Linked DNA regions of Diceros bicornis minor. The protein of the gene in region 2 interacts with the protein of the main gene of each other region in a biochemical or structural test. Links are inferred from orthologs where the notes say so. Each region holds a gene or a part of one and is shown on either strand. Other genes may lie near its edges. The genes, in order: SIPA1L1, DLG4 and NET1.

Evidence for each region.
Region 1: the proteins of DLG4 (region 2) and SIPA1L1 form a complex in vitro, tested with the Homo sapiens proteins (2 studies listed by BioGRID and IntAct, with this or other methods). The link is inferred for Diceros bicornis minor from reciprocal best matches to the Homo sapiens genes DLG4 and SIPA1L1.
Region 3: the proteins of DLG4 (region 2) and NET1 interact in a biophysical measurement, tested with the Homo sapiens proteins (2 studies listed by IntAct, with this or other methods). The link is inferred for Diceros bicornis minor from reciprocal best matches to the Homo sapiens genes DLG4 and NET1.

What each region holds. Positions count from the first base shown.
Region 1 is NC_080763.1:19,729,790-19,733,533, forward strand, and holds the start of SIPA1L1 (signal-induced proliferation-associated 1-like protein 1), read left to right. Parts: upstream 1-985; 5' UTR 986-1,585; intron 1,586-3,744.
Region 2 is NC_080757.1:11,068,492-11,072,235, forward strand, and holds the start of DLG4 (disks large homolog 4), read left to right. Parts: upstream 1-884; 5' UTR 885-1,328; coding exon 1,329-1,358; intron 1,359-3,744. UniProt on the Homo sapiens protein: Postsynaptic scaffolding protein that plays a critical role in synaptogenesis and synaptic plasticity by providing a platform for the postsynaptic clustering of crucial synaptic proteins.
Region 3 is NC_080775.1:6,573,651-6,577,394, forward strand, and holds the start of NET1 (neuroepithelial cell-transforming gene 1 protein), read left to right. Parts: upstream 1-919; 5' UTR 920-1,034; coding exon 1,035-1,162; intron 1,163-3,744. UniProt on the Homo sapiens protein: Acts as a guanine nucleotide exchange factor (GEF) for RhoA GTPase. May be involved in activation of the SAPK/JNK pathway Stimulates genotoxic stress-induced RHOB activity in breast cancer cells leading to their cell death.

The DNA.
Region 1 (3,744 bases), on a different chromosome or scaffold from region 2:
GGGAGGATGGTAAGAGAGTAAAAAACATAACTGTGGAGCAGAAACGTATTCTAAGCCTAAGGACTCTATAGAGTCAAAGGAAAGTACTGAAGACACGGACAGACTGTGGCGTTCACTTTTTTCCCCAAAAGACAATAAGTAAATACCTACTATGTACCAAGCCTGTAGAGGAGCTGAGAATACAAAGATGAATAGGGCAGATCTTCAAGGAGCCCAGTCTGGTGGTGCTGGTGGTGATGGGGAGGTGGAGTGGGGGAAAAGGAGAGAGCGAGCATATGGAGTGGGGGTTGGGGATGAGATTAGACGAGAAGCTTGAAAAACTGAATATATAGTAGAAATTTGGGGGTACAGATATACACTGGCTTCTCTGGCAGAAATCTGCCCTGGAACCTCTGAAAAAAAACCAATTAGCCTCATTTGCCAGATTGGGCCAGATATCATGAAGCTGGTCTTCTACAGATGCCTTCTTGAATAGGCTTAAGAATCCGCCTTCCGCTTCTTGCTTTCGCTTCCTCCACCATTAGGGGCCGGGCAAGGGAGGGGGCAGGTTGAAAACTGCACCCACGTTTGCTGCCTGTGCTCTCTGCAGAAGACAGGAACCCAGGGCTTTGCCATCGTCATAGCAACCAGGAGTTCCACGGTTCCCCACTTCCCTCCGACTCCTTCCACTTCCCCCGCCGGCAGGGCTGCGCTGCCGCTTCTCTCGCGAGATTTGCGAGCCGCGCTGAGCAGCCCAGCAGTGATCTCACCCGAGACTTGGGGCGGGAGGGAGAGAACGAGGGGAAGGAATGGGGCAGGGAGGCGGAGAAGAGAGGGGTGGGGAGGGGAGGGAAGGGCCAGTGAGGCGCCGCCACCGCCGGCAACTTTGTGAGCGAGTTCAGTGCGTGCGTGAGCGAGTGAGCGAAAAAGTCAGTGCGGCGCCGAGTTCCAGGAGGAGGGTCCCCGGGGAGGGCCAGATCGGGGTTTCAGAGGCCACCCCCAGTCACTTCATCCTCTCCCGCCTCCCTGGCTCCCTCGCCATTTCCTCCCCCCACGGGGCCTCCCGGGCCTTCCCGCCCCCTTCTGCAGTTACCTGTCCCCTCCCCCACTCGGCACGCACCTCCCCTTTCCCCCGCGCCCACCTCCGACCTCCGGACACTGGACTCCCAGTCAGCTCGCACTCCCTTCCCGCGCCGTCCGCCCCCTCAGCTCTTTCTCCTGGGGGCAGGCGGGCGGAATGGGGGGCGCTGAGCCTCGGAGGCGGCGCGAGCGGAGACCCGGGCGCCCAGACAATAGTTGATGTCCGGGGACGGGGGCACCTCCGCCCCCCACTCCTCCAGGAGCGCGGCCCCCGCCGGCAGCTCTCCAGCCTGCATTCCGGGTCCCCCCCGGAGCCAGGCTCCGGAGTTGGGCTGATTCCGCCCCCGCCTCCTCCGGGCCCCCCTCCGTTCGGCGCCCGCCCCGGCCTTGCTGCCTGCCGTTCTCCGCAGAGGAGGCGGCGAGGGAGCGCGCGCCGACCGTCTACACGGTTTCTCTTTCTCCCCAGAGAGAGCGCGCGGCGGACGCGCCCCGGACGCGCGGCGGCACTCGGAGGCCGGGCCCAGCGGTAAGTGGCTCCCGCGCCCCGGGGCCGAGCAGGGGTGCAGGACTGTTGACAGCCCCCCACTCCATTTCTGGCTGGGGCTCGGGTCCAGGGCCCGGAGCAGGACACCGGGAGGCCGGTCAAAGTTTTATTTCCGATTTGGTGGCGTGCTGATAGCGCAGCCCCGCGGGGGCGAGTCCGGGCTGCACAGCGCCTGGCGCGCGCGCACGCATCTCGGAATCCGAATCTGCACAACTACCGGCCAGGCGCCTGTGCGAGAGGCCGGGAGACCCGCGCTCCCGTCGGGGTGACTGCGCCCACCCCGCTGCTCTCGTCTCCACCGGGCGACCCTTCCCCTTCAGTCACCTGGGTGAGCGCTTTGCAGGCTGTGCTGGAGGGGACAGGCCGAGAGGTTTAATCACCAGAGAGGGAGAAGAGCAGCTCGGTGGCCGCGGGTGGTTAATTTCTCTCCCAAGGGTCTTGGGCGGGGGCGGTGCAAGTCTGGGATGCTCTAACTGCTTTCCTTGGAGCAAGTAAACCTCGAGAGGGCTGGGCACGCATGAGGGTCCTGCAAGAAGAACTTTTCCTCCTTCGCCCTTTCTGTTTCCAACTTGTCTCCTGACCTTAAAGGAAATTTGCGAGCCTCCTTGTCGCTCCACGGCATTTCTAGGCGGACAAGAAATCGTGGTGGGCAGGTTGAAATTCCATCGGGTTCACCGTTTGGAAAATCTAGAGACAAGGGAAATGGCTCACTTTTAAGGAAGGTGTTGTTAAGTGAGTAGTTGGTATTCATTTTTGAAGGGAAGCTTTTGGGGACTGATGGCTCCTAGACTGCATTTACCTTATAGATTTTATTTTTATGCCGGGTAGTTTAGAGGCAGCATTCACTGAAATTCTTACTACCTGCTAAACGATTATGTTTCTAAACTGGGAACCAGTGATGCGATGCAAATTTCAGAGTGAGTGTCGACTTTCATCAGGTTCCAGGTCTATCTGGATGAACTGGGGTTGGCGTTTCCTCTATAAAGCAAACCTTTCATGTTGAAACTCTGACTCAGATTCTTAAAGCCATTGTTTTTATCCTGGTACTCTGTGGGAGTTTGTCAACTTTCTCTTGTTTTCTCCTATGGAATATTCGTCCAAGGCAAAGATTCTCTGACTTAATCTTTTGGAAAAGTACAAGGTTAAGTCCTGTACAATCATTCTCTGCGGCCAGTTTAGTAACAATATTAATTTTCTATATTATCCTGATTTAACGACTTTCGCTTTTCCCTTTTTCAATTTTTTGAAAGCTGCAATTAAGCCACCTTTACCAGGGTGGGAAAAAAAAAAAACGCTGATGGGAATAATATAGAACAGTGGTAACAACAGTAGTCTCAAATAAAGCAGTTTATGGTCACTGATGTGTCCAACTATTAGATCACATACCAGTTATTAACGAGATTAATATTAAAACATTTTTCCCATGGAATAAATTATTTATACTAAGGCATTAGCAGTTAACAATGCATTTAAAATGACCTGGGTGAGGATTTGCACATAAATGGTTAGGGGCAAAATAAGAGATTTTGGGGGATGAATGGTTTAATGCGGCTGACAACTTGTTTTCTTATCTCATTGTGCTTAAGTAAAGGACTCCCGACGTTGACTGTATCATTGGGCTTTTCCGGTTGACTGAGAGAACGAGTTTGGCAAGTGGCTCAAGACAGTCAGTAGGTGTTGCTGTTAGCTTCTCTGCAGTTCCTGGTACTGCTCCTCGAGTTTGAGATTGCAATTCTGGTGCAGTGAACTTTTTCTGTCTGAAGCGTCAGGCAGTGTTAGCTGTGGCTTCTTTGTAGGATTCTGTGGCAAGGTTGACCTAAACCTTGGTAAGAATTTCAAAACATCTCACAGAAATTTTATATTGAGATTCTTTTAATTCTTTCCTTTCACTGTTTTCTGGCTTTAGTATTTACTTTGCTTTTACTTTGATTATGTGTGTAGTTTTGGTGGAGCCCTCCCCTCCATGCCCCCTTTTAAAAACACCTAGTAACTTTATTGAAACATTGATTGAAGATTGCTTGAAGATGGCGGTTTTGTAGACTTTGGGGGAATCCATCAGAGTTGAAATATGTATATGTTCTAAGGTTTGCAGTTTGAATTTTTCAATAAATGGCTGTTTTCTGTCGCTGAGCTGTGCGACA
Region 2 (3,744 bases):
TATCCATCTCAGGGGCTGGTTGAGAGCCTGGAGATCATTTGGTTCAAGCAGGAGCCCCCGCAGGGGTCATCCTGACAGTGTCCTCCATCAGCGTCCACCAGGCTCGGCTGGAGGAGCTCCTCCCTGACCAGACAGAAGGAGGCCAATGATGGCAGGGATGGCCAGGGAGGCAGGGGCAGGGGAGGGTAACTCAGTTCTGTTCCTGTGACAGACATCCTGGACTATTATGAGGCTTCCATCTCAGAGAGTCAGGTAAGGGGGTGGGGTGGGGGGACTGACTTCCTGAGGGAGGAGGCAGGGCTGGAGCAAAGTACTGAGGGAGGCACTGCTAATATTTAACTGAGACTTGGGGGCCCTGGGGATGAAATTCTGAGTGAGGGGCATGGAGAATGCACTTTCTCCTGTCCTGCAGCCTCTTCTCCCTCTTGCTTCCCCCCTTTCTTTGCCTGCCCCAATTTCAGGCACTAAGAGTCCAGGACGTAATTACTTTTCAGGCTTCCTCCTGTGAATCCCGAGGGAGAACTAGGCCCCCAGGGATTCCCTCCTGCCAGCCCCTCCCTCACCCCCTGCCCCCTATCACGGGCTGTCTCCAGTATTTAAACAACCGTGGGTGCTCCCAGCCCGACTCTGGGTGCTTCCTCTGAGAAATGAAACCCATCCTCATCGTCTCTGCTGTATCGCTGGTGGCTGGCCAGGTCTCCATGTTTGCCTCAGGGCCTCTCCTCTCCTGCTTCCATCTCCTCTCCCATTATCCGGGTTCCTGCCAGCACTGAAGGAGTTAACTCTGCCAAGGCACCCCCCCCATTCTCGCTCCTCGCTCGCTCCCTCCCTCCCCCTGCTTCCTCTCTCCTCCTCTCTCCCCTTCCCTCCTCGGCTCCACGGCTCCCTCGGCCGCTGCCGCCTCCGACCCCCCCACCCCACTCCCCCGCCACGGCCCCTAGCCCCTGGCCGTTAGGCAAGACCCCCCCCTACCCCGGGGCTCCCCAGAATCCAGTTCCCCTCCCCCACCTCAGCTCATGCCCCAGCCCCCGAACTCCGGGGCTGCCAGCCCCCGGTGCCCCCGCCCCTCCTGAGAATCGGGGTGTGCTCCCCGAGCCCCCTCCCCTCCATTGGGGACCCCCTTTTAGGGCCCCCTTCCCCTCCCTCCCACGCTTCCCTACCTTTTCCTTCTCCAACCCCCTCTTTCCCCTCTCACCCCTCCCCCCATCCTGGCTCCCCCTGCAAAAGTGGGGTGCGGAGGGGGGAGGGGTGAGAACCGACGGAGGGGAGGAAGGAAACTCCGATGAAGTCAGAGCCCCTTACCCGCCGCCGCGGCCAGGCCCCCCAACATGGACTGTCTCTGTATAGTGACAACCAAGGTAAGCGTGATGGGGGGTCTGTAAACTGGGGGGAGGGTATGAGTTTGTGGGGAGGGGTTAGGCAGGCCTAATCTGGGGCCAGGGGGCCTGGAGTGAGAGCATCAGAAGATGTATCTCAGGGTCATAATTTACTTTTGGGGTGCACATCTGAGAAAACGCTTGGTTTGGCCACAGGTGCCCCCGGAGTGATCCCTTTGTACCTGTAGAGAAATGGAAAATTTGGTGTATTCCATGGTTTGGGGGGTCTTGTGGGTTTTGGGGTTCACCAATGATGTTTGAGGGAGACTTATTTAAGGAGAAGCCTAGCTCACATGGGAGTTCTGCTCTTGTGTATGTTAGGTGGACTACGTGGTGGGGGGGTCCTTTTTCCCCCTGGGGGACAAGCTGGCTTCCAGGTGCCTTGTCTAATTTCAGGGGGCTCCTGGCTTGGGGGTAGAAGGTTATTGGTTGGGAGTGCCTGACTGGTCTGGGGGTGTCAGCTGGCAGGGAAAGGGTGGGCCTTCAGGCTATGGAACAAGCGTCTCATGGTAGATACATTTGAGGGTCTGCTCAATTTGAAGGAACTGTTAATTTAGGGTTCGATCATATGGAATGGGGATAGTTGGGAGTTGTCAGAGGGCTGGGGTCTGGCATAGGATCACCTGAGGGAATGGACCAGGTGAGGTTAGGATTTGGGGGTACTCCCATGGGACGTAGAAGGTTGCGGCAGCTGAGGTTGCCAGCTCCTGAGGAGGACGATGGGAGGTTTTGAGAGAGAGGGGATTTAAGGAGGGGAACCAGGTAGGTGGTACAAAATTTGGAGGTGGCCCAGGCAGGTTCCCAATGTCCCCATCCCCTCCTACACTGTATCTACCCCTGGTTGAGAAAGAGGGAGAAGAGCAGATGGAGGGGACTGTTCCTGTTACTACCCCTGACACTTAGGATCAAGGTTGGGGGGACACCTGGATTTAAGGTTACTGGGGTGAAAAGGAGTAGGAGGAGGGCAGGGCTGGCAGCAGTAAGGATCTGTACAAAGGTGGCCTTGTGGTTGGGGCCTGGAAAGGGCAGGAGATCTTGGATGGGGAGCGCAAGCAAGCTCCTGGTGGGATGCAGAATACCTAGGTCTTGGCCGGGAGACTCTGGAACTGGAAAGCTGGATGCCTGGTGTATGGAGGGAGGCTTGGGCGGGTGGCAGGCAGCTGGGGGTTGGGGGGTGGGACAGGAAGTGGGGGCCGGGGAGGCGGGGTCCGGGTGAGTCACTGGCTGGGGAGGGGGTTATATTTAGTGGGAACTGCAGCTTCTCAGGGGAGGGAGCTGAGGACACACATGTTCTGTGCCACAAACTCACACATGTGTGTACACATGCGCTGTACACATGTGAGCATGGATGGAAGAGACTGGGGGCTGAGGACCTTTAGGTTCGGAGCCCCCACCCCCTCTCCAGGGCTACTTGCTTGTACCCTGTTTTGTGGGCTTTGGGCTTTCTCCCACACTGCTTCTTTCCCTCACCCCCTGTAGTTTCAGTGGATTTTGGTGCCTCAGTTTCTCTGGCCTGGTCTCCTTTAATGTCTATCTGATCCTCTGCTCCACCTGTCTCCTGCCCTTAGCCTGCCCCTTAACCTTAGGCTCCCTGGCTGTGGTCTCCTGTGTACAGGTGTACACAGAGAGCCAGTTGGAATGTGTAGGCTCTGCTTCCAACACGTGAACATAACGCCAGTGAGGGTGAGGGGCTTGCCTGCACTGGCAGCTATTCTGGGAGGGTGGCTTATTCATTTCCCTTCCAGACTCCTACTTCTTCGATGGAGCCCAGGGTTGAGCCTCTCCGAAGGAAAGAGCCTTGTGCAGAGAGGATCATGCATTTGGGGTTTTACAGAGGCATGGAGACCCAGGCTTACCATATTACTTGGCCGGAAAACTTGGCAGTCTTGGGATGGCGGGGACTCCAACTCCCATAAGACCTTGAGGCACAAGATCCCTCAGTGTTAGAGGGCTGCTGCCGGTGGGGCTGTTGGGAGTTGTGGTTCATCTCTATCCAGGGCAGCGAAGGGTAGCCCAGGAGGAGCCAGCAGGGGGCACATGGCACTTTTTCCCCCAAAATGCTGTGTGGGGAAGGGGGTGCCCAGGCTTTGCGGTCGTTGAGCTTCCCAGCTCCGTCTGAGTCCTCCATTTTTCATTGCCTATATTTAGACTCCTGCCGCAGTGATTTAAGGAACATTTATTGAATGCCACTATGTGCCAGGCCCTGTGCTTTGTGCTAACTCTGCCTTTATAGCTATCACTTAGTCTTACTCCGTGCCTATATCTCTGCCTGTCTCTCTGTCTCTGAGCATCTTTCTCCCACTCCGCCCCCGTCCCTCCCCCTTCTCCCCGCGCTGCTGCCGCCGTTGCCATGGTAACCGGCGACGAC
Region 3 (3,744 bases), on a different chromosome or scaffold from region 2:
GCCTTGACTCCCCACCTGTGGTAAGAACTTTCTTTCCTCCTGGTACAGGGAGGGCATCTTTCACATGGGAGTTTCATCCCTTGCTCTCAGGAAGCACAGGGGAGGTCAGAGCGCCCTTCTTGCACCTGCTGTTTTTCAAGTGCCTGTAGCTCAAAATAATCCTCGTGCCAAAGTGGCATATTCTGCCACTCCTCAATGTAAATATAATTTTATTTCTTAGGATAGATTCCCAGAAATGGAATCATAGTGTCAAAGGAGAGATTATTTTTAAAGCCTTTGACACATAAAAAGCAATATTTAAAATCAAAGAATGTGCTCATTTAACAACTGTCTTTTTATTTGAGAAGGTCCTTTATTTGATGTTGTTACTTCGGCTGCCTTTTTAATAATCAGAGGATGAAGGCACTTTCACTTTCTTTTGCTAAGGAGAGACTGTCTCTTTGGAACTGGGAGACAGGAGGGCTCACAATTAGATACCACTGGTTTCCTACAGACAGCCTTAAGAACACATTTCCACTCCCTTTGGTAAACGGGGATTTATCTCACGTGAATAATTTAGCGTATATGTGGCTAATAACCAAACCTCATTATAAGTCATTACTTTCAGCCTCTCTTCTCACCAAATGCTGAGAAAGATCTAAAATGCTTCCAATTTCATTGGCCTATGGTGAAAGTCCTAATAAACAATGCAGTAGGCAGCAGGCTTTGGGGATTTAGGAATGGAGCCAGAATTCAGTCCAAGGCCACTCACTTATCTGCATGGCTGGCCGCTCTGACCACCCTCCCTTTCCTGCCTCCACTTAAGCGCCTGGAAGGCGTGGAGGTGGAGAGGGGCGGGACTCACGTTTCCTAGCAACCGTCCCCTGTCCCCTGATTGGCTGATCTCCTGCGGCCGCCATTTTCAAACCCCGGAAGATGGCGGCGGCGGCGGCGACTTCGTGACAGAAACTGCTCTTTGGGCAGAAGTGGTCGGGCGCCGTGCCGGTCCCCGCGGGCCTCCCGGGCACCCGGCCACCTCCCCACCCCTCCGCGCCATGGAGCCCGAGCTGGCGGCCCCAAAGCAGCCCCGGCCGCGGAGGCGAAGCCGCCGGGCCTCCGGGCTCAGCGCGGACGGCGCCGCGGGGCCTTCGGCCGACAACCCCAGGCCGGAGCTGGACGGCAGGTGAGCGCGGGGGTCGGCAGCGACTGGGGACCCGGGCGTCCGGTCCGAGGCCCGGGCCGGGGGGTAATGGGAGAGGGGGGTGAGGGGAGCGGGGAGGGGCGGGCTGCTCACCCTCCTCCTCCGGCCCTTCCTCAGGCGGGGCGCGGGCTCCTCCTCCTTCCTACCCACCCCCTTCTTTTAGGCGGGCGGCACGGGCTGGTCACTCACCTCCTCCTCCGGACCTTCTTCAGGCGGGGCGCCGGAAGATCACCCTCCCCCCCCTCCTCCGGACCCTCGGGCGGGGGCGCGGGGAGGTCACCCTCCCCCCCCGACCCTCCTCGGGCGGGGGCGCGGGGAGGTCACCCTCCCCCCCCCTCCTCCGGTCCCTCCTCGGGCGGGGGCGCGGGGAGGTCACCCTCTCCCCCCAATCCAGACCTTCCTCGGGCGGGGGCGCGGGGAGGTCACCCTCCCCCCCTCCTCCCGACCCTCCTCGGGCGGGGGCGCGGGGAGGTCACCTTCCCCCCTCCTCCTCCGGACCTTCCTCGGGCGGGGGCGCGGGGAGGTCACCCTCCCCCCGATCCAGACCTTCCTCGGGCGGGGGCGCGGCGAGGTCACCCTCTCCTCTTCCGGACCTTCCTCGGGCGGGGGCGCGGGGAGGTCACCCTCCCCCCTTCTCCGGACCTTCCTCAGGCGGGGGCACGGCGAGGTCACCCTCTCCTCCTCCGGACCTTCCTCGGGCGGGGGCGCGGGGAGGTCACCCTCCCCCCTTCTCCGGACCTTCCTCAGGCGGGGGCACGGCGAGGTCACCCTCTCTCCCTCCTCCAGACCTTCCTGAGGCGCGGGTGCGGGGAGGTCACCCTCTCCCCTGATCCAGAACTTCCTCAGGTGGGTGCGCGGGGAGGTCACCCTTCCCCCTCCTGCAGACCTTTCTCGAGACGGTGGGGGGGGTCACTCTCCCCCCCCCGACCTTCCTCAGAAGGGGAGTCGGGCTGCTCCCCCTCCTTCTCCTCAGACCCTTTCTTGGGGGGCGCGACGCGGGGTCGCCAGTGGAGGTTGGTTATCCACACCCAGTGGGCTCCGGGCTGGAATGTGAGCGTTCCTAAATGCAAATGACAACACAGAAACTGTGCTGGAGCCTGCGGGGCTAGGGGAGAGGAATTGTCACCGCAGCCACGATAACTTCAGACGCCAAACTTTTAGCCTAAAAGCGAGCGTTAAAATGAACTGTTTTTCCGAGGCCAGAATCCTTTTCGAGAACTGGCCAAGTCGCTGAACAGAGCACAGTTCACGCCTCTAGCCTCCTGGGTGAAGAGATCGAAGAGGACAGTCACTGACTTTTTAACTATTGACACATTTCCCGTTCTGTCTCCCGTGACAGTAAAGGATGGACACTAGATGAGGGTTTCAGAAGGTTGTGTCTGGAGGAGGAGCGCTGTAAGAGGAAGTACTGAAGACGTTGCTTTCCCATCACAGTATTGGAGGTGGTAGGTTCCAATGACTGGTTGTTGGACCTTGCATCTCCAAGGCTGTCTTCATCTGTAAAGTGGGCCTTATAATAGTTTCCACTTCCTCTAAGTTGTTGTGAAATTCAGTGAGATAATACATGTAAGGTGTATACCTAGTAGCTGTACACAGAGAGTTCTCAATAAATGTTAAACTGTTATTTGTTGGTTTTTGTAAGAATATTTCCACCTCTGCTTTATCTTTTCAAAAGTCCCTGTGGTCCATTTCACATTATTGCTTTAGATAAACTACAGTCCCTTACACAATTTACTTTGCAGTCATGGCTGGATGTGCTGATCCCTTTTTGAGAGAGAGATAGGAAAACACCTTACTTTCATCAACAAGGCATTTATAAACCCATTGTGAGTTACTCTGCTTAGGGTAATCCTTGCCTGAATATACCTTCATGAAGCCTTTATACAGACTACAGCCTAAATTTAAGAGGTAGATGGAAGAGCAGAGAGAAAGAAGTCTTCATTTCTGAGATTGAGAAGCAGGAGAACCAGGAAAGACTAGTTAAGAGAAAATGAAAACAGAATTTCAAAAACGTCAGACAAAGGCAGTGTTAAATTCATTCTACATTCATTCAGTAATGCTATTGAGCACCTGCCTAGTGCCAGGCATTGTTGTAGATACTGGGAATTCTGGTGAACAAGGGAAGATGAAGTCCCTGTTCTCATGCAGCTTAAATTCTGGTTGAGGGAAAAAATAATAATCAAGTGAATATATAAAATAGCAGGTGGTCATGCTGTGAATAGAAGTAAGGCATGGTAAGGGGGACAGAAGTAAGGAGAGAGTGATGTTGCTATTTTAGGAAAAATCACAAGGAAAAGCCTCTCTGATGATAATGATGACATTTGAGCAGAGATCTGAAGAAATTAAGGAACTAAGCTGTGTAAATATTTGGAGAGAGGGGCAGCAAGTGCAAAGGCTTTGAAGTAGAATCCTATTTGATGTGTTTAAGGAACTGCAAAGAATCCAAGATGACTGGAGTGGAATAAAATAAAAGGGAGAATGGTAGAAGATGAAGTCAGAAATGGCTGGGGCCAGATCATGTAGTACCTGGTAGACCGCTGAAAGGACTTTAAGTTTGAATGAGT